Linked DNA regions of Neurospora crassa OR74A. Each later gene encodes a partner of the first gene's protein in a complex. Links are inferred from orthologs where the notes say so. Each region holds a gene or a part of one and is shown on either strand. Other genes may lie near its edges.

Region 1 (10,204 bases):
ACAGACGAATAGTTTGATATCTTCTAATGATGATAGGATGACCAAAAACTCACCTTTGTCACTCCTGTGTTGCCCAGAGTTGCCGACTTTTTGGGTCCCGTGGCCGAGCTCGATGATGACGATGTTGCTGCTGCTGGGGAGCCATAGTACATCTCACTCTTCTTCTTGACCGCCGGCGTGACGAGGGTCGTCTTTTCCTTCTTTTGGCACTTTGCGCAAACCATGTCGGGGATATATTTCTTTTCGGGCGTCTCTCCTATATTCCTTGGTTGAAGTGGTGAGCAAGCTTTTGTTGACGGTTGATGAGATAGCTCTACGTGGTTCAAGTTGGTGATGAATGAGGTCAGAGCACAACAGCGGCGGCAAGTTGAGGTGGTGTCCGCTGGGGCGTTGTTACCATGGTGCCCTGTACTGGCCGCCAAGCCCATGGCGCATCCCAGAGAAGAACCAGAGAACTTGAAGGGACCAAGAAGGCCGCGTATGGTGGGGTAAAAGGGCCCCTACTGTCAGCCACTATCGCTTAGTCATGAGCTTAGCGTCCTCGCTTCCAGCCTCAAACACACCTTGGAGCATCTTGATTGGGTGTGCCGCATTCGAAACATCTTTATTCATAGCAACTGGCAATCCACACATGGATGCTCTGCCTAACAACGGTGACCCGCTAACAGGAGCGCTGTGACGTGCCTTGGCGGCTTGGTCCCCTGGGAAGGCGATTGTGGTGTTAGTGGTGGGTGAGTGTCCCAGTCTTTGTAGCCGGTACCTCTACCTATGGATGGTAGTGTACATTACGATTACGTGCAGCTTTTCAAGCCCATCACTCAGGCAATCCCTTCCATCCCTGACATCCCCTGAATTCCAGAAGAAATAAAGTCTGCATCTTCAAACATCCAAAACATGGAACCTGCCCTTTCCTGAGGTCGCCAGACTTGGGTACCGATCGTTGGACTCTTTCTCAACATCCCGTCAGGGGGTGCATCCCAACTCATTGACAGGGCACTCTTCAAGCAAACCGTATTGGCGCGTACCAGGAACCGTAGGTATCGAACCGGGCCCATTGGTACCTACCTCTATTCTAGATTGGTGTCTTGTATCATTGGTCTTCCTGTACCGGGGGGCACCAGTTCGTTAATTCCACACGCGAATCCTGCGCTGAGCAGCCTTGAAAGGAGGCTGTGCTGCATCTTCACTTGACTTCCCATGACACGGCGGCGGCACCTACTGCGCTAGTATCCAGCCCACCATCCACTATCTCTCCGTACAATTCCCAACTCCAATTCAGCTTCCCCAAGTTCCACCTCACGCATTCGTCTCGTCGCAAAAAGAAACGTTCCTGCGGTCAACATACCTTACCTAGACTCATACGCTACCCAGCACTCGACCACATCCATCAAAGCCGCATTACACACGCGCTACCTACTCCGGCCTGGAATCAACAAGTGCCCGCCGTATCCGGATTCCTCCCCCTCGTCCACATTGAGTCCTCAGATGCTCCTATTCCCGCTATAGGCACGACTCTCCGCCCTTGTCTTCGAATCCCTCGCTTGTCTCCGCGACACCACCATCTCACCTTGGTCTGACGGACTGTCCTACCGACAGCGTCCATTTTCCGGCTCCCGGTCTCCGGCATGGCGGCTGGCCGCCCCCCTCCTGGGGCCCCGTCGAGCGCTCAACACGACGATCTGCTGCTCGACTTCGGCAACGAACAACCATATTATGGCGGGGGACAAAGGTCGACTTTAAACGACGACGATCTCTTGCGACTACACAGCGATGATGCGCAAGGCGCCGCGCAACCTCGCCCGTCCGTATCCTACGATGACTTCGTCGGCTCCGGGCAAACAACACAACCAACAGCTACAAGACCTATACAGCCCGCGCCAGGCGCGACAGGCGGCGGAGGCCCAATAAGTCCATACCCTGATAGCAGGTCCCTGGACCGGCATTTCAGCCAAACGTCGGATCTCGGAAACTATCAACGCTATGCCGAGGACTCTGACGACTACCCTGACGAGAGTACCACGTCCTACTACCAACATGGCGGAGCTATCCCCCCGGACTCGGCGGCTGCCCGCGACAGCGCGCGCGCACGGAATAGCGTCCTGAGCATGGGTGGCGGTTTGATCGGTCGTGCCAAGAACATGCTTGGAATGGGCCCTGAGGGATACTCGGAGATGGACCTCCCCTTGACGGATCCGCGAGCGACCGCACGGGTAGACCACTCTCACGAGCCTCCTCCTCCCCAGAAGCCAGCCAAGAAGTTTGATTTCAAGTTTGGGTTTGGGGGCGGAAAGCCGGATCCAGCAACCCTTGGGCCCCGTATCATCCATCTCAACAACCCTCCCGCCAACAGCCTGAACAAGTATGTCGACAACCACGTCTCGACCGCCAAGTACAATTTTGCGACTTTTTTGCCCAAGTTCCTCTTCGAGCAGTTCTCCAAATTCGCCAACATCTTCTTCTTATTTACCGCCGGTCTACAGCAGATTCCCGGCCTGTCTCCTACAAACAGATATACTACAATTGGTCCTCTAGCTGTTGTGCTCTTGGTTTCGGCGGGTAAAGAGATGGTCGAAGATTATCGGAGAAAACAGGCAGATAAGGCGCTCAATATGTCCAAGGCCCGGATCCTGAGGGGTTCGACATTCGAGGAAACGAAATGGATCAACGTCTCGGTTGGAGACATCATTCGAGTCGAATCTGAGGAGTCCTTCCCCGCCGATCTTGTTCTCTTGGCGAGTTCCGAGCCCGAGGGTCTTTGCTATATCGAAACCGCCAATCTCGACGGAGAGACCAACCTCAAGATCAAGCAAGCTCTGCCAGAAACGTCATCTATGGTTAGCTCCAGCGAGTTGAGTCGTCTGGGAGGCAGGATTCGCTCCGAGCAGCCCAACAGCAGTCTTTACACTTACGAAGCGACCTTGACCATGCAGGCTGGAGGTGGGGAGAAGGAGCTTCCTCTAAACCCCGAGCAGTTGCTTCTCCGTGGTGCTACTCTGCGCAACACCCCTTGGGTCCACGGTGTCGTTGTCTTCACTGGCCACGAGACCAAGCTGATGCGCAACGCCACGGCCGCGCCGATTAAGCGCACCAAGGTCGAGAGGCAGCTGAACACGCTCGTACTCTTCCTCGTCGGTATCCTTTTGATCTTCAGCGTGGTCTCTACTGTCGGTGATCTCATCCAACGAAAGGTGGAGGGCGAGGAAGGTCTCGCTTATCTCTTCTTGGATCCTATGAACGGTGCCTCGGCTGTTGCTCGCATCTTCATCAAGGACATGGTCACATACTGGGTTTTGTTTTCCGCTCTCGTTCCCATTTCGCTCTTCGTCACCATTGAAATGGTCAAGTATTGGCACGGCATTCTCATTAACGACGACCTTGATATGTATTACGACGTTAACGACACCCCTGCCAATTGCCGAACTTCCAGTCTGGTTGAGGAATTGGGCATGGTTGAGTTCGTCTTCTCAGACAAGACTGGTACCTTGACCTGCAACATGATGGAATATAGGCAATGCTCGATCGCTGGAATCATGTACGCCGACAAGGTGCCCGAGGATAGAATCCCGAGTGGTGAGGACGGAGAGGATGGAATCCACGACTTCAAGCAACTGCAGAAGAATCTCGAGAGCCACCAATCTGCGCAGGTCATTGACCAATTTCTCACCCTTCTCGCCATCTGCCATACTGTTATTCCGGAACAGGCTGAAGACGGAAGCATCAAGTACCAAGCCGCGTCACCAGATGAGGGAGCGCTTGTCGATGGTGCGGTACAGATGGGCTACAGGTTCGTCGCTCGCAAGCCGCGCGCTGTTATCATCGAAGCCAACGGCCAGCAGCTTGAGTACGAGCTCTTGGCAGTCTGCGAGTTCAACTCAACCAGAAAGAGAATGTCCACGATTTATCGTTGCCCTGACGGCAAGGTTCGTTGCTACTGCAAGGGTGCAGACACCGTCATCCTGGAAAGGCTCAATGACCAGAACCCCCACGTCGACGCCACCCTGCGACATCTTGAGGAATATGCTTCTGAGGGACTACGCACGCTCTGCTTGGCCATGAGGGAAATCCCGGAGCACGAATTCCAGGAGTGGATGAAGGTTTACGAGACGGCGCAGACGACCATTGGTGGTAATCGTGCAGATGAGCTGGACAAGGCTGCCGAACTCATCGAGCACGACTTCTACCTTCTTGGTGCCACCGCTATCGAGGATCGCTTGCAGGACGGTGTGCCCGAGACCATTCACACCCTCCAGGAAGCTGGCATCAAGGTTTGGGTCTTGACCGGTGACAGACAAGAGACCGCCATCAACATTGGCATGAGTTGCAAGTTGCTTAGTGAGGACATGATGCTGCTCATTGTCAACGAAGAGAGTGCGGAAGCTACGCGGGATAATCTTCAGAAGAAGCTCGATGCCATCCGCAACCAGGGCGATGCCACCATTGAGATGGAGACCCTGGCTCTCGTTATTGACGGCAAATCGCTAACGTACGCTCTGGAGAAGGACATGGAGAAGCTCTTCCTTGATCTTGCCATCATGTGCAAGGCCGTTATCTGCTGCCGTGTTTCCCCTCTGCAAAAGGCCCTGGTCGTCAAGTTGGTCAAGAAGTATCAAAAGGAGTCGATTCTCCTCGCTATTGGCGACGGAGCCAACGATGTCTCTATGATTCAGGCTGCCCATATTGGTGTCGGTATCAGCGGTATGGAAGGTCTACAAGCTGCGCGCAGTGCCGATGTGTCTATTGCCCAGTTCCGTTACCTCCGCAAGTTGCTTCTCGTCCATGGCGCCTGGAGCTACCATCGTGTGTCGAAGACCATTTTGTTCTCTTTCTATAAGAACATTTGCCTTTATCTGACACAGTTTTGGGTATGTGTTCCATGCAGGTAACCATTTCTGATTCAAAAACACTGACCTGAAACAGTACACTTTCCAAAACGTCTTTTCCGGTGAAGTCATCTACGAATCCTGGACTCTCTCTTTCTACAACGTCTTTTTTACGGTCCTTCCGCCGCTCGCCCTTGGTATCCTCGATCAGTTCGTCTCTGCCCGCCTGCTCGACCGCTACCCGCAGCTCTACAACCTCGGCCAGCGCAACACCTTCTTCAAGATCCGTGTCTTCGGCGAATGGATCATCAACGCCGTCTACCACTCCATCATTCTCTATGTAGGCGGCTGTCTCTTCTGGCTCAACGACGGGCCTCAAGGTGACGGTTTCCCTGGCGGAAAGTGGGTCTGGGGTACAGCCATGTATGGTGCCGTCCTACTTACCGTCCTCGGCAAAGCCGCGCTGGTGACCAACAACTGGACCAAGTACCACGTCATCGCCATCCCCGGTTCCATGGCTTTCTGGATCTTATTCGTGGCAGTCTATGGCGAGGTGGCGCCCAAGCTGAACATCAGTGTTGAGTACTTTGGCGTCATCCCCAGGCTGTTCACGAGCCCGATCTTCTGGATCCAGATGCCTACGCTGGCAATCCTCTGTTTGCTCAGAGATTTTGCGTGGAAGTTTAGCAAGCGGTTGTGGAGACCGGAGGCGTATCATCACGTGCAGGAGATTCAGAAGTATAACATTCAGGATTATAGGCCTCGGTATGTTTTTGCCATGATTCGTCGTCCCCCCCTCCTCTCCTTACTTTTTTACCCTGCCTCTATTCGATTGCTAACGCAAGGACAACAGCATGGAACAATTCCAAAAAGCCATCCGCAAAGTCCGTCAGGTCCAGCGCATGCGCAAGCAACGCGGTTATGCCTTTTCGCAGGCCGACGAGTCGCAGACCCGCGTGCTCCAGGCCTACGACACAACACAGCATCGTGGTCGGTATGGCGAGATGGCCAGTTCAAGACCGAATCAATAAAAAAACAAAACAAAGCAGAAATAACAAAACCAGCGAATGGGGTTGCGCTTAATGTATTGGGGTGGGAGGGACATGAATCAAAGTGTGTATGGACGGAGATGTGATGAATAGGTGACTGATGGACTGATTGATGGTGATGGATGGATTTAAGATGAAAAAAAAACGGAAGGAAGAGACATCTTCTTTGCGTATCATGAGGGGGGCACGCAGACAGACTAGGCAGGCAAGCAGGCATGAAAGGGAGGTATACGACAACTTATTTTTAATCGTTTTCTTATTCTTCGCTCCATCTATGCTTGCGCTTTCCTCTACTGACATGTTCTTGTGTATGTGATGTGGGGAAAGAAAGGCGTAGTAGGTTCATTGATTTCTGGTGACGAGTTTTCAACCCTCAACGTGGCTTCATAATCCTCTGTTTTCAACAGTTAAAGCACATACGACCATACCCACTGGAAAACTCGGGATCCCGTCCGCTCTCCCATAGATAAGCCAGTGAGGGCCAGACTAGTAGTTGGGTCGGTGACGACCAGCGAATCCCTGGTGTTGTATGTTTTTGATCCTGTCTTTGTTTTTGATTTTTTATTCTTTTTAGCCCATTTCATTGGCCCATCCTTCCTTCTTCTCTCATGTGCGTATAATTTAGAGGTAAATTAGGTTGAAGTTGGATTCTAACTGGAACTTTTTGATTTTGCCTAGCTAGGTGAAATGGCCGCATTTGCGGTAGATGAGACGGTGACGGATACATGTATTTCGTGGGTATTGTCTTGTCGTTTGGTACTAGGTAAGTCAAAGGGGTAGCGCGAGCGCTGAAATCTAAGTACTTGTATGCAAGGAATGATGATGTTTGACACATATAATATTGACGGCGAGTATTACTGCTTATTATATCTTCTCGTGCTCTTGGCATGAGAGTTTGGTACAATGTTCCAGCACAGGATGAAAACAACATGTCTGCCTTCCTACCTCCCTTAACTCCAAGTGGACTTGATATCTCGGAGTTGGAAACAATTCAAAGGCGTTGTATGTCTTATAGTTATCTTGATATCCCGAGGTATTGAAGAAAATGAGGTAAAAATGTAAACCCCTTCCATTCAATAAATGCCTGTACGTCAGGCTAGGCTAACATGATATACAATGTCCATCAGCGATACCATCGGTAGGAGTACCCGGTGGGATCGGATGATGTACTCGGGGAGTAGCAGCGTATTGCTTCTTGACAGGTTGCTTACCGGTGGTTACTTGCGTCTTTTGAGGTGAGAAGGGTAGCGAGATGACTCTCCCGGTAAGGGTATATTAGGGGGGTTGTTATCGTGGTTCATAGAGGCTGCAAAGGTACTTCTGTCCCCGAGATCTCACTCACCGTGTCGACAGCCAGGCAGGCGCTCATGTGTTTATGAGATGTTTACCTTCCTCTTCCTTGTCTTCAGTCATTGACCAGATCACATGCCAGGACGACATGATCGGTTCTGAACCTGTAATAGTGAGAGCAATGCGACCCTTTCACGAAGCATGAAGGACATGGGAACTGTTCAGAAGCTTCTATGCACCTCTCCCACTTTACACAGTAGTGTAAATGTTGCCTGTGTTTTGCCATCCGAACTCCGAGCACATGCCAGCGTTTGGCTCTCAAGCTACCAGGAGGAACCAAGTAGTTCTCAACCAGGTGTCCATTAGCTTTCGCCAGCCGGACATACTGCGTACATACCTTGATGGCGAAGAAGACCGAGATCCCAAAGCCAGTTTCCATCGTCAAGTCGTCCGAGATGATCGTCGATCGAGGAATAACTTCCAGGAACATCGGCAGTTCATATCCACGAGCCGCTTAGTAATGTGATGGATCCGGTCTGGCTGACTCTTCATACACAGTAGAGAGTCCCGTGAAGTCGCGCGATTTTCGTGCGTCTCTGTCTCCGTAGGATGAATCACAAAACAGATTCCGATATGTCCGAGCATGATGCAGGTATGCAGACAGGCGGTGGCGTGGGTGACCTGGTTCGATGTCTTCTCTTCAGGATATGGAAATCGCAAGAGTTCTCCAACTTCCATGGCCCGGAAAATAGTACCAAAAAAGATGGGGAAGAATCCACCGGAAAACTTGCTCGCGGCCTCACACAGTGCCCGTTCATCTTGTCGCCGCCCAGCCAAGCGAGCCAGCCAACCAGCCCGGCACCATGTCCGACGACCGGCCGATCCCCGGCATTCCAGAACCGAGCCCAGCTACCGGGCCCCGTTTGGTGGCTGGGGCGATGGGTGGGTACACGTGCAAGATGCGGCATTTGCCTTGTCCGCGTTTTCTCTGGCTGGGTCTTTTTTTTTCTTTGGCCGACATTCACGAAATCATCCACGTTCTCACGTGTTTTGCGCAGCTTCGGGAGTTAAAGATTCCGGATCCATCAAGAGTGCTGGGATGAGCCAAGTCTCATGCGGATGTTTCCGCTGGATTGCCACGGGCCGATGCCGGCGATGGTCGCCAAACATGTCAAGCTAAAGAAAAAAAACAAAAGAAAAACAGAAAGTTGGAAAGTTCCACAAGAAGCACGCAATACCGACGCGTTTTCACGTGGGGACTTCACAAGATGGGAAGCTTGGCGGATGTGATGTCTGAAAAAATCTTGGAGAGAAGCATGGCGCTTTGGTGAACTTTTTGGAAGGCATGAGATATGGATCTTAGAAGGGACGAATGAGATGAGGCGGAAATAGGGTTACGTACAGGATGAGCCTGGCTCTAGTGTAACTGTCGGGGACTTTGAGTGAACAAGTGAGACTGTCTCTTGACTTCAGAATAGGATTCAGAGCTCCAAGATTCCAGTTTGATATTGGTTCGAATTCGGCTTTGATACTCCACTGAAAAGTTCAGAGGAAGTCTGACAACGATATTGTTGAACCTCCTCGAGATTTTGCATTTTTTTTCTTCTTCCTTCCCCCAGGCTGACCGACATGAACCTGATGATTGGCAAAAGTATGTACCTACCTTCCTCTCTGGAGCATTTCGGCCGATGCTTCAGTTCGGCTCCAGACAAGGGAACTAAAAATAGAAAAAGGTTGGTTGATGTCGAGGCGAGGGGACGTGACGGTGTATCAGAAGCTACCCTAGCAACCCTGCAATGTCATTAGGTGATAAAATCGGTAGTGTAGTGTAGTTAACCCCAACCCGTATGCGTTGCCCCCCCCCCCCCCCCACCCTTCGCCAACCCCAAGACATGGGGAGATGAACGACAAGCGATGTCGCCTTTCGCCCGAGTAAAGTTTGCCTCTGTATCTCACGGGGCATAACAAGTGTACAAAACCTATCTATTAGAGACTCATCACTGCACGCCAAGAAGCCTAGACAACCAGGACGCGTATACTGGAAGCCAAGCCCGATCATCAATCCCTTTAATGGTGAACATATACAACCGGAGGTAGAGGGTGGGGGACGCTAAGATGGACACATTTTTACCGTTAAAGGGATGGATGACCCTCGACGTTGGGCTTGCGGATCCCCTAGAAACTTACACTACAACCTATTATAACGCATGTTGGATGAGAACAGGACAAACTAATGCGCAACGGAACTCCCCGAGTCATGGCAGAGACGAATTATTCAATTTCGACAGTGCTGGCTGCGAAAGAAAGTCTCGGCGATGTTTGCCAGTCTAGTGGCTCAAGACTATCCAGCTGGTGCAGCAATAGTATTCCGGCGTGCAGTCTGTAGTGTGGGAAACGTACGGGTAGTTGCTGATGTTTGACTTCAGAACTCCCTTTGGTATCTTGTGTCGTTCCTTTTTCAGTCAGCCCGGCGGTAATGTATGTGTAGACGGATGCATAACGGATGCCTAACCGGGGCTCTGGCTGGGGAGGAACAGCTCATGGCTATTAGGTAGGTCTATTCAACATCTGATGGCATTCCTCGAGTGAACGACCACAGTGACAATCAAAGGTTGCAGCAGTGAGTAACCGTCTGGTCTATTTTTACCGTTTCTTTTCATCACTGATGGGATTTGATGCGCAAACAGGCCCATGGGTGAAGGTTTGTTAACCGCCCACGATACCATCACGCACATCTGCGGACTGCGACCCTGCCTCTAGTGTACTGTGATAATCCATCACAGAGGCCTTGGCGGGATGACTGGGATTAACGTACTGATGGCAAAGTGCAAAAAAGGACGAGAATACAAAATTGAGATGGTTTGCGAAGCATGACACGCAATTGAACATTCTTTATCAAATACCAAGATCCAGGTCGGGAAGGTTACCATGACGATCGGATATAGAAGCATCTGGATCAGACCTGATCAAACGCTGATAGTGACTCGCAAATGGCTTCACTACGCCGTAACGTTAGCATGCTTTAATAAGATGAGCTATAGAATC
Region 2 (10,985 bases), on another chromosome or scaffold:
GCCCTCATAGCCGCCGAACGCTCTCTCCAACCCGACGATCCCTTTCACGCCCTTCTCCCCCCTCCACTCACGCCCTCGTCCCACATCACCCCCCTCCTCGAATCCGAATTCGACCGCATCGCCTCCCACCACGTCCAAGCCGCCAACCCCGACGGTACACAACAAGCCCCGCCACCAAAACTCTCCGCCCTCGACCTAGCCCGCTACTCCTCCCTCCCCGAGATCCCCTCCGCCTCCGAACTTGCAGGAATGGACAGCTCCGAAGCCACCACCCTTCTTTCTTCTTTACTTGGGAAAGCCTACACGGACCACGCCTACGTTGCGCAGCGGCGAGCGCACCTAGCTTTGCTGGACGCGTACGGCAAGAACGCGTGGCTGATTGGCAACTGGCAGCTAGAGGGGGAGCTGAAGGCTATAGAAAAGGAATTGGCGGAGGCGAAGAGGGAGATTGATCTGGTAACGCTGCAGCGGAAGCAGGCGCAGGACGAGGTTGGACCGGAGATCTTGGGACTGGAGGATACGTGGAAGAAGGGCGTGGGTAGGGTGTTGGAGACGGAAGCGGCTGTGGAGGGGTTGAGAAGGCAGGTTTTGGAGGTTAGGAGGGGGATGGAGTAGGGGGTGGTAATTCAAGATGGAGAGGAGATTTTGTGGCTTTGGTTTTGTCCTGGGTTTACAGGCAAGGTACGAAGTGTCTGGCTGTATAGACACATGGGGGAAAGAAAGGCTCAGTGAAGCATCAATCTGCATCAGAGGAGGGCGTGTCACGATAGGCGACGAATGAGCTCGACAAGGACCATGGAATGAACTGCTAGGTACCTAATTTGCAAAGAATCCCCCGAGGGATAGACAATGGATGAGAGGGGAGGCAACACCAAAACAACACAATAAGCACAATGAAACTCGGTAATAGAGACCCAGATGGTATCGAGCAGGTGGAAGACCAGTCTACAGCCTGCGTTTCGCGGTTCTGGGAACAAATGGGCGACATTGAATGATATCAGTATATGTTGTACTAGAACCTAGTAGACGCCTTTCCTAACCAGCAATAAAGCTAACATCGACAACAACTACTAACTACTTCTGTGTGCAAGTCTTGAACCCCAAACCCAGGCCAAAGAACGGACCTTACCCAACAGTGATAAAGAAAGCCATTTTAGTCTATAACAATTCAATTTGCACTCTGGTCTCCTCAAGACACCTGCAAAGGATCCACCTCTTCCGCTTCGACGTACCTAGTCCTCCGCAAAATGCTTTCAATCGGACCAAGCAACCTTTGAAAAGCATTCTTGCCAAGCCTGGCAACCTTGACCTCAGTTTGGCTGATGACGCTGGCCGCGCGAGGGGCATCATTCAGCAGCGCAAGCTCACCGAAGAAATCACCCTTCTTGTAGTTCTTAACTGGAGAATCGTTTCCTCGCTTGAACGCTGCCGCCTCGCCAGCCTCTAACAGGAAGAAGGAGTGGCCGGGGTCACCCTCAAGAATGATCTCATGGCCAGCCGGGTACTTCTGGCTTTCGAGAGCATCCGCAATCTTGGACCGCTCATATGGCGTGAGGGTCTTGAGGATGGGCACTTCTTCGAGAAAGCTCTCGTACATCCGACGACGAGAAAAGGTCGATTCCATGAGAATTCGTCGGAAGGTGACACGATCAAGCGCCCATAGTGTGCACTGGGGCTCAGCAGAGACAACAGTAGCAGCACGGGGTGCGTTGTACATGAGGGCAAGCTCGCCAAAAGAGCCACCCTCCGCTATCTCGCCAACCTTCTGTCCCATGCCGTCTGGGCCGGGTTGAAGAGCGCCGGTGCTGTTGACATAAACCTCGAATCTTCCCTTCTCTACCACATAGAAATAATCACCGGCATCGCCTTGAGTGATCACCTGCCAAAAAGCGTTAGAAAAACCGTGTTTCTCAAAACAGAGAGTTGCAGTGGCTTCAGGTACTAACCTTGATTCCTTTGGCAGGCACCGGCTTCTCTACCAAAGCACCCAATACTTGGGCACTCTGGTCGTCCTCAAGGTGGTTGAAAAGAAAGTTGCCGCTGATGGCTTTCTTCAAACGCTCAAGTTGCTCTGCTGTCTTTGGATGAACAGGAGGTGACCAGTTGTCGGAGTTATCCGTGACTGGTTTCAGGGATTCTGCCGAAACGGAGGTCCGGCGACCCAAGTTGTAGTGAGCAGGGAAGTCATCAGGTTGGCGCCGGACGGGCATGTCTGACGGAGCATCGCCACCAAAGCCGTTCCAGAAAGCGGGCGCAGCGTTGTTCTTGACGCCGAAATGGGGAGTTGTAGGCGAAGTAATAGTATCATTCTCGTCTTCCTCAACCAGCCTATGCATTGGCCCAGACTCAGATCTGCCTGAACTGCCAAACGGGTTTGCGTTCCCAAAAGGGCTGGTGAAACCTGTGCTCGACATTGTGGTGACGTTGATCCCAACAGATGAATCTTGTGAGGTGTGTCGAGCTGAATTGAGAGCTGTTGCCTTATATCAGACAAATGTTCGAATCAGATATGCAGATGCTTGTAGCTTGGACCGAACACTACCTACTGAAACTGAGAAAAAGGATCCAGAAGTGTTTTGTCCCCGAACTTTATTTTATAATTCGCGAGCAAAGGTCGGATGGAGATCGAAAGGTCGCAAGGGACCAGAGCGTCTGTAATTTAACACGGGGCGTCGGAAGGTAGATCTTTGGCGCCTGGAAGCACTTTACAAAATTAGCACCTGATTACCGAAAGAACAAGCATGGATGATCACCCGCATAGATCTTGACATCGGATCAGAGTGGAATTGCCGAACGGGAAATTGCGAAATTGGCAGAATGGCATGACGCAGAGAAGAGATCGGTCTTGGGATGACAGTAATCCACACTCCATGTGATCTGTTTGACTACGAATCTATGCGACCTAGCGCACGGGTACAAGATGTTCGATTGCACAACGATGTTGATCGAGCAAACAAGGTGAGACATGGCTGAAGAGATTTAGGGAACTTACCTAGGGATCACCAGATGTAGGATAGGTGGTATGGAGAGGTTGAGGTCGCAAGCAATCTCGCGGACAACAGTCTTGCGGTGGTTGCGAACGCCGGAGATGGATGGATAGGTTTCAGAGGATCGCGGGCGGGATGATGAAGGACGAGCGGGATTGCGGAATGGGCGATGGCAAGGGAGCAAAGGCTGGGATGCTTTGACCAGCTCGTAGCCCGAGATGCTTTATACGTGGCTGCCCGGGAAAGCAGAGCAGACAAGGCTGTAATGTGGACAGGGAATAAAGGCTAAGACGGTTCGGCAAACACCGCAGCACGAGGGTAGGTTTCTTCGTTGCGACCGAATTCTGGTGTCGCGAGAGCAATTGCGGTTGCGATTGCGATCTCACTTGCAGAGGAGTTGCCTTGTAGCGACGCAAGAAAGAAGCAAGGCAGCTGTGGCGAGGCGTGTTGACCGAACGAAGCAGGCGGCGGGGAGCTGTGTGGGTGGAGGTGGAAATGATGGAAGGGGGAATGGCAATAACAACAGAGGACTGGAGAGCTGAGCACGACACGGCAAATGAGACAAGGGAGTCTTCGGTTATTACTGTCTTTGTTAAAAGGGCGAGAGTAGAAGCGCCGGAAACACAGAGAGCAGGAAAGCTGGCATGAGGGGAGTGATGTGGAGGAGGTGAAGCTCTAGGTTTTGGCGGGCAGGTGGGGTGGGTGATGCCGTTTGCGCTCGTTATCTGGGTTCTGGGTCGTGAACTCAAGGTGCTGGACGGTCGACCGTTGCCGTACTGGCGTGCAGGGTTCTCTGCGATGTCCCTTTCCGGCCATTGCCTCAGCTTGGCCGTTAAGGTAAGTACCTAGGACCGTGTCACAGACGGGAAGGCTTACAGAAGGCTTACAGAAGCCTTCCAGAACCACCTCATGGAATTGACTCTGGATTTAGCAGCCGGCGCTGAATCTTCAACTCCTCATCTTTTCACGCGTTGATGTTCGTCAGCCATCATTCGACAAACATCTTTCGAAGCCACGTCAGTGATTGACTATCAACAGGGTCGAGACAACTGGAACAATGAAGGCAATGCCCTCCTCCGTTCCCTGCTGGGGGCAAGACCCACCTCTCTTGTGCTCCTTGTTGCTTCTCCACAAGTTCCGTCAAGCACGATCACAGACTCAAATCTGTCGAATCCTTCTAGAAAACACAAGCACGAGCCTTCATGCGACTGCCCCCCTTCTTCTTCCTTGCTTCTTTTGGTGTCCCTGCGTGCCCTGTCCAATTGCCTATCTTGCGTGTGCCAGCTCTCTTTCTCTGGTGCCAGCTTGCCCGCATTGCCTGCCATTCAGATGTTCTGTCGCCGGGGTTACACATGTGGTCTAGAGTCTGGTTGGCTGTAACCTCAATACCTCATTGACCCATCCGCCCCCGTCGGGTGTCTGACGTGTGAGTCTGATGCTGTCCTTCTTCTTCGGCTTCTCTTGCAGATCTCGGCAGCCATTTCGTAACGTTTGCGAGCCAAACTCGACTAGAGAAGCCAGAAACAGCTTCTTTTTTTGCGGGTGGCAACCATCCCCGAAGACTTGGCGTTATTCATCAGTTTTACGCAGTACCTCATTGATGATCTCGATGCTGTTCGGCAGCCGTTTTTGTCTCAATGCTTCGTTCTACACATGCACAAGGCTTCACGCACACGACGGCGAAGAAGTCTTTTGTGTCGTGGTGCTGAAAGTTGCTTGTGTAGGGTTCTAACGGTTTGCCTGTCAATCTTGCACGAACAATTGTTACTATCACCTGCGCGTGAACGCTGCTGGTTGCGTATGTAGTGTCCGGTTGACTGGTCCCCGACCCCATCAGATCAAGTGGAGCGGATGAGACCTAGAACAGGATGTTGCAATCAAGATACTGATATGCAAAAGGCCGAGATACCACCCGGGCGCCGAACGGTAAACACAAGACACACAGCTGATATATCACTCTTGTACCAGATAGTGAGACGGATCTGAAGTCGCAGAACAGAAACGTTGTGCAAAAAGGTGAAACGAAGCGCGAGAGGTTGGTGGCACATATAGAGATTGGCAGCTCACTCTGTGCCCGATTCTGGAGGTTGTTGTGTTCTAAAGAAGCACCTCTTTGAATGACTGTTGACGTGCATTCGCGGGGCAGCGGAGAATGGCCCGTGCGTGTGCTGCCCTCAGCGGTTCCCTCAGTTGAGCGGCCTGGACAAGCTCTCGCTCACGTGAGACATCTCGTGAGAGTGCTCAGATGATGATATCCGAGTGTGAAGTCGGACGTCGGACAACCAAGCCCTGAAATGGAAACTCACAGCCTCCCTGCCAAGAGGAAGGCACGGACCATTTTGAATTGTTGCAACGCCCCAGAAGGCCGAAGGGTCCGGGTCCGCGTTCCACTGCCCACTCAGGTCTCGAGCCATTGCAGCGATGGAGTGCAGCAGTGGACTTGCCCGTCCGTCCTGTCCTTGTAGCGCCCGACTCAAACTGTTCGTTGACAATTCCATTGCCCACCTTTAGACTCTGTCCCTGTTGCGTGTGTTCCTGGCGCCGCCGTTCCATCAACTTTGCAAAACGGCTTGAATTCCACTTGCATCATCGCAAGCGCCCGCCCTTCTCCTGGTCTTCGAATCTTTCCGACCTTTTAGCGACGACAATAGTCGCTGGAATAATCCGATAACATGGCACCTCGCCGTCGCCGTGGCGGCCGCGATGGCTCCCAGGACGGCAACTCATCAGAGACAGATGCTCCCAAGAACCGTCCACCCAACACTGCTTTCCGCCAGCAACGAATGCGCGCCTGGCAATGCGTGCTCACGCCCAAACTTATCGTCTCCATTTTTACTGTCCTCGCCGCCATCTATCTTGGCTTTGGCGCCTACTTGACATATCTCGCCTTCACTGTACTTTCCCCCGGTTCTTTTCTGTGCCCCCTGTCACTTGCTGCAAAAAGTGTCCGACCAGCCGCTGACCATGCCACCCATCTTTTTAGGTTCGAGATATCAGTATCGACTACACAGATTGTCTGAGAGATGCGCCCAGAGGAAATGACACAAGGAAACCAATTCCACCCGATAACATCAAGTCGCACTTCACCTCAAAAGCCCTGGCCGACCATCCGAACCTAGACCCCAAGAAGATGTCGACATGGCATGTTGAGGAGAAAAACGTAACCTTCGAATGGAGCGGCATCACGGCTCCAAGAAACATTTGCGTTATCTCATTCCCTATTCCCGAGGAACTCCCGGCACCCGTCAGCTTCTACTACCATCTCGACAACTTCTACCAGAACCATCGTCGCTACGTTAACTCGTTCAACGCCAAGCAACTTCTGGGCGATGCCGTATCCAAGGATGTTATCGACGGCTCGACCTGCAAGCCCCTGGATCTCGACCCTCGAGGAAGCGGAAAGGTCATTTACCCGTGCGGCGTGGTGGCCAATTCCATGTTCAACGACACCTTCTCCAACCCCTACAACGAGCAAAACTCTACCGACTACGTCATGTCCAACAAGGCCGGTGACATCAGCTGGGAGGGATTGAAGGACCTATACGGCGAGACGAAGTACTCGCGGGCCGATATCGTGCCCCCACCCAACTGGGAGGCAGCCTGGCCCAACGGCTACACAAACGACACCAAGCTTCCCGACCTCAAGAACTGGGCCGACTTCCAGAACTGGATGATGCTCGCTGCCTCGCCCGACTTTTACAAGCTGGTGCGCAAGAACGAGCGCGACGCCATGAAGGCGGGCAACTACCGGATTGAGATTGTCGACAACTTCAACACCACCGTTTACAACGGACACAAGTCCATCGTGCTCACCACCATCACCGCCATGGGCGCCCGCAACATCTGGCCAGGGATAATATTCCTCATTGTCGGCGGCATCTGCCTTATTCTTGACATCTACTTTGTCTTGTCTTTCTTCATATGGAAGCCTCGTAAGCTGGGCGACCCGTCGTACCTGTCGTGGAATCAGCCTTCGGCCGCTCAGGCTGGATCGACGTGAAACGAGCAACCAGAACTCGAACCAAGTAAGACAAAACACACAAAGAACGAAGATATAATTTAGACCCTAATTACGCCGTGAGATGGATGGATGGCTGGATGGATGTGATGAAACTTCTTACCCTGCGGGATGAGGCTAGGACGGGGGCTGGCTGGCTGGTCGAAACATGAATTGGGATAGAAGAGGCGGAAAGGGTAAGGAGAAGCAGACAACTTGAAGGAGACAGAGAGAGAGAGAGAGAGAGAGAGAGAGGGCGGGATTCCTGATCCAACACGGAACCGCTCTTTGTGAGCTTTGCCTGTTGTTGTTTCCAAAAACTTCGCTGGGTTTTGAAGTTCAGCACGCGCTTACACAAGTCTTTTTGGGATATCAATAACTGAACGGCGTCTTGGGTTTGGTATAGTTTCCGTTTCACTACTTAGTACAGATGCATTTCATGGGATGTAGGTCTCATTATTTACTCACAATTTTTTTAAAAAAGAAAACCACAAGCTCATTTTCATTTCCTGTGACAACTTCAATTAAAGTACGGTATCACTCACCATGCCAGATTGTGTAAAACAAGTAGTTTACTACTACCTACCATGTTCATACAACTACAGTACCAAACAATATATCCCATTTGCACGCCAGACAAATTTGCCCATTGGAAGAGAGAAAAAAAGACCGCGCAAAATCAAATCCACGCCGACATAGGAAAGAGGAAAAAAAGGGAAAGTCTGAAAAAAAGCCAAACTTGTACACAGGCCCGATTTTGAAACCCTTTTCCCAAGATATGCAAACTCACAAGGAAAATAAATGTCAACCGATTAACCTTGTCATATCGCGAGAAGAGCTCAAGCGAACGAAGACCGGGTCTAATCAGTCTACTTTCTCCGCTTCTTGGGTGCCGCACGTTCCTCCTCGTCGTCGAAGCCGCTCTCCCTGTCACGCTTCTTAGCCTTCCTCTCCAGCTCATCCCAATCCTCGCCCTCCTCCTCCTCGCTGTCTTCCGCCTCATCGCTGGCCTCCTCCGAGGCGTTGGAGTCGTATTCGGAATCCTCTTCGCTAGACTCGGAAGCGTCCTCCAATTCGCTCTCGTCAATTTCGAAGGCGCTCTCCTCTTCCTCCTCCTCCACTTCGTCGTCGTCGCTGTCGTTCTGCAGGAAGCCCCAGCCACCATCCAAGAAAAATTGGTGGGTATTGGCAGTGACCGTTTTCATGATGACACCCCAGTTGAGGTTGAGAGGACCCTCTGAGAAGGCAATGTCAGACGAGTCAAGGAACTCCTTGACGTCTTCCAAAGACTCGACAGGAATGGTGTTGATGTGGTATGGTGGCCTCGTGAAGTCCTTGAAGACAAACACCAGATCAAAGTTTTTGAGACCAAACTGAACACGTTCCAGATGTGCGACTTCAATGTCCTCAAGGGTGATAACCATGAATGGAGGTTCGGTGATCTGGATGAGACACTCCGTGGTGGGCTGGATGTACACGTTACTGCGGAACGGTACACCGTTGAAACCAAGGTCGCGGAGTGGCATGTCCACCTCAATGCCTTCGTTGCGGCCCGCCTCGGCAATCTTTTCCGCGAACGACTTGAACAGGCGATCCAGCTCTGCGCGGCGCCGGCGTTCCTCCTGTTCAGCCTCGAACTCATCCTCATCACCATAACGATACTTGCGCTTCCGATTGCCGGTCTCGTCGAACTGGATGTCGGTGGCTTCCCTGTAGAATTGGACATCCTTCGTCTTCTTCTTGTTTCCAATGATAATGGGATCCTTGAGGTGGATGTGGATGATCACAATCAACTCGTGCTGACATGGTTGGAAGAAAAGGTGGCGAACGTTGGAAAAGAGGATATCCACGCGTTGCGTTGTGCTGAGAGGTGACTGGTAGCGAATACCGTTCTGGTGAATTTCCACCTTACCAGGCACACGCTTGCCCTCCATGGCCGGCCGGATGAAGACATTATCCAATACGGCGGGCCGACGGTCTGATAGTTAATTAGTATGTTGCAATACAATTGATCCGGGAAAGCGACTTACTTCTGATTTCAACGAGCTTGTCCTGCTCAACTACGTCCTCCATATCCTTCTTCTCCTGCTCCTTCTTGACAGCGTCTCGTTTGAGGTTCGAGATTTGGTTTGCAATGTCAGCATACCTATCGCCATCGGTTGATTTGAAAGTCAAGCTCCTGACGAAGTGCGCAGATGCATCTTCGAAGGGCTGCTCATCCTTCCGACCCACACCCTGGCCAGGAGATAGGAAGTTGATTCTCAAGAATGACCACTCGCCCTCGTCACTCTTGCTTGCGTTCTTGATGGTGTTGATATGGAAGGGTACCGGCCTGCCCATAACAGGCAGTACTATGGTCGCGTTCTTTTGATCAATAACGATGCCCATATCCTTAACCTTGGGCGGGAATTGATTATCCCGCTTGTAAGATTCGAAGCGCTTGAACTTTTTGATTTCGACGCCATTCTCATCAGCGGTAGATTCGGCGTATTTGGCCAAGCCTTCCTTCTGTTTCTTCTGCGCGAGTTCCTTCTGATGCTCGCGACGTCTCTTGTCCGCGTCCTCATCTACCGTTGTATTACGCTCAGAGCGTAGACGAGTGCTAGTGATGTTCTTGGTTGCAACGGCACCCACCCTAGAGTCCCGCTTCTCCTTTTTCGGTGTGGGCTGTGCTTCTTCCTCATCTTTGAAGAAGAACGAGGTGGCATCAACATCGACAGGCGCCTCGCCAGTAAACACCACCGGCTCGGAGCTAGTGACACGGATCGTATCGGAAAGGATCAAGGAATAGACCTTGCTGTTCTTGTCTTGGGGGTTGGGGTTCTGGATATCACTGAAGCCGGTGGTCACAACCAGTGTCATGCCATCCTTAAGGGTACGGGTGTTCTTGTTGTTGAGAATCAAGGTCGGGTCCTTGTTCTCCAGGCCGATTCCAAAGCCGACGTTCTTAAGAAAGTGCTTCTCAAGATCGGGCTTTTTGGACCGCACAAAGTTGTAGGCCTTGGTGTAAACATCCTTGACAATGGCACCATCCCGGATCTCCTTGAGAATGAGGTTGTGGACAGCAAGTAGGAACTTGTAGTTGCTTTCTTGGGACTTGTTGGGATCGACCATGAAAGTTCTGGCGATTTGGGAGCAATAGGACTTGTATCTGAGACCCATAGCCGCGATGATAATTCCCGGGTGGAGTATATCATTGTCAGAATCAGCCTGCCACTTCAGGTCAAATTTGCCACCACTTTGGACGATCGGTCCCAGAATCCAGTCCAGCTGCTCGGGATCGAGGTCAGCCGGGAGCTTCTGTCGGTTGGGCAGCTCGACGGTCTTCCAAAACTTATCGTCTTCCAGTTTGTTGAAGACCTTATCGGCTAGTGCGCTGTGCTTGATCTTCTTATCTTGGTCGAGGATATTGGACATTTCGTCGAGGAAGTAAGGGGTCAGGAGGGCGACGCAAGCCTTGGACGAGGTCCGCATGGCACGAAGCTCGGTCTCATCCTTGACGGAGAAGGCGCCAGCAGACAGAGCCTGGGCAACGTCAACCTCCTCCACATCCTTGCAGTTATCGGCATAGACCTTCTTCCATTCGTCGATAAAGGGGCCCTTGGAGGTGTCCTTGGTAAGGACGCCAACCTTCTTCTATAACGAGCGAAAATGTGTTAGAACCGCACCGAGATGTTGATGTGCGCCCAGGATGGGATGTAACTTACGCCCGCAGCCTTGATGGCATCCGTAATTTTGATGAAAAGCTTCTCGTTCTCGGCGGCGTCCTTCCCCCGCACGAGGACCTCAACGGGGTATCTGCCGCCCTTCACTTGGTCGAGGTACTTGGCTATTAACGTGTCAGATAGTTTGTCCGCGTTCTTGGGTCGGGAATACCGGGCGAACCTTTCTTTTGGGTGGTGAGAATGTAGATGGTGTCGAGGGTAAACAGCATGAGGGTCGTCGGGAACTCGTAACCTAGCAGCCAGAACTTTACGTAGAGCTATCAGCAGCTGTCATTT

What was found.
Region 2: the proteins of NCU00352 (region 1) and NCU01165 are in contact, whole or in part, in a cryo-EM structure (PDB 6PSY), measured with the Saccharomyces cerevisiae proteins. The link is inferred for Neurospora crassa OR74A from reciprocal best matches to the Saccharomyces cerevisiae genes DRS2 and CDC50. Residues at the interface, in NP_009376.2 of Saccharomyces cerevisiae: His241, Val242, Ser243, Pro244, Met469, Lys475, His476, Leu477, Ser478, Tyr479, Leu480, Tyr481, Leu482, Asp494, Thr497, Tyr520, Phe523, Met524, Ser527, Asp528, Leu529, Tyr532, Glu534, Asp537, Pro539, His1000, Trp1003, Tyr1029, Ala1032, Asn1033; in NP_010018.1 of Saccharomyces cerevisiae: Lys21, Lys22, Pro23, Pro24, Asn25, Phe28, Arg29, Gln30, Gln31, Leu33, Lys34, Ala35, Trp36, Gln37, Pro38, Ile39, Leu40, Ser41, Pro42, Val45, Leu46, Leu48, Leu49, Val52, Phe56, Leu63, Phe138, Tyr140, Lys142, Asn145.

The regions. Positions count from the first base shown.
Region 1 is NC_026503.1:3,543,441-3,553,644, forward strand, and holds NCU00352 (phospholipid-transporting ATPase), read left to right. Parts: upstream 1-836; 5' UTR 837-1,625; coding exon 1,626-4,862; intron 4,863-4,917; coding exon 4,918-5,585; intron 5,586-5,673; coding exon 5,674-5,851; 3' UTR 5,852-6,480; downstream 6,481-10,204. Other genes in the region: NCU00351 (cript family protein), read right to left, coding at 54-428; NCU00353 (hypothetical protein), read left to right, coding at 6,986-7,104, 7,333-7,499, 7,785-7,811, 7,967-8,101, 8,364-8,449. UniProt on the Saccharomyces cerevisiae protein: Catalytic component of a P4-ATPase flippase complex which catalyzes the hydrolysis of ATP coupled to the transport of phosphatidylserine and small amounts of ethanolamine from the lumen to the cytosolic leaflet of the trans-Golgi network and ensures the maintenance of asymmetric distribution of phospholipids.
Region 2 is NC_026505.1:3,097,951-3,108,935, reverse strand, and holds NCU01165 (LEM3/CDC50 family protein), read left to right. Parts: upstream 1-5,314; 5' UTR 5,315-5,659; coding exon 5,660-5,881; intron 5,882-5,970; coding exon 5,971-6,987; 3' UTR 6,988-7,496; downstream 7,497-10,985. Other genes in the region: NCU01167 (hypothetical protein), read left to right, coding at 1-615; mcb (camp-dependent protein kinase regulatory chain, variant), read right to left, coding at 1,190-1,879, 1,947-2,414; NCU01164 (transcription elongation complex subunit), read right to left, coding at 7,854-8,962, 9,015-10,620, 10,692-10,813, 10,870-10,954.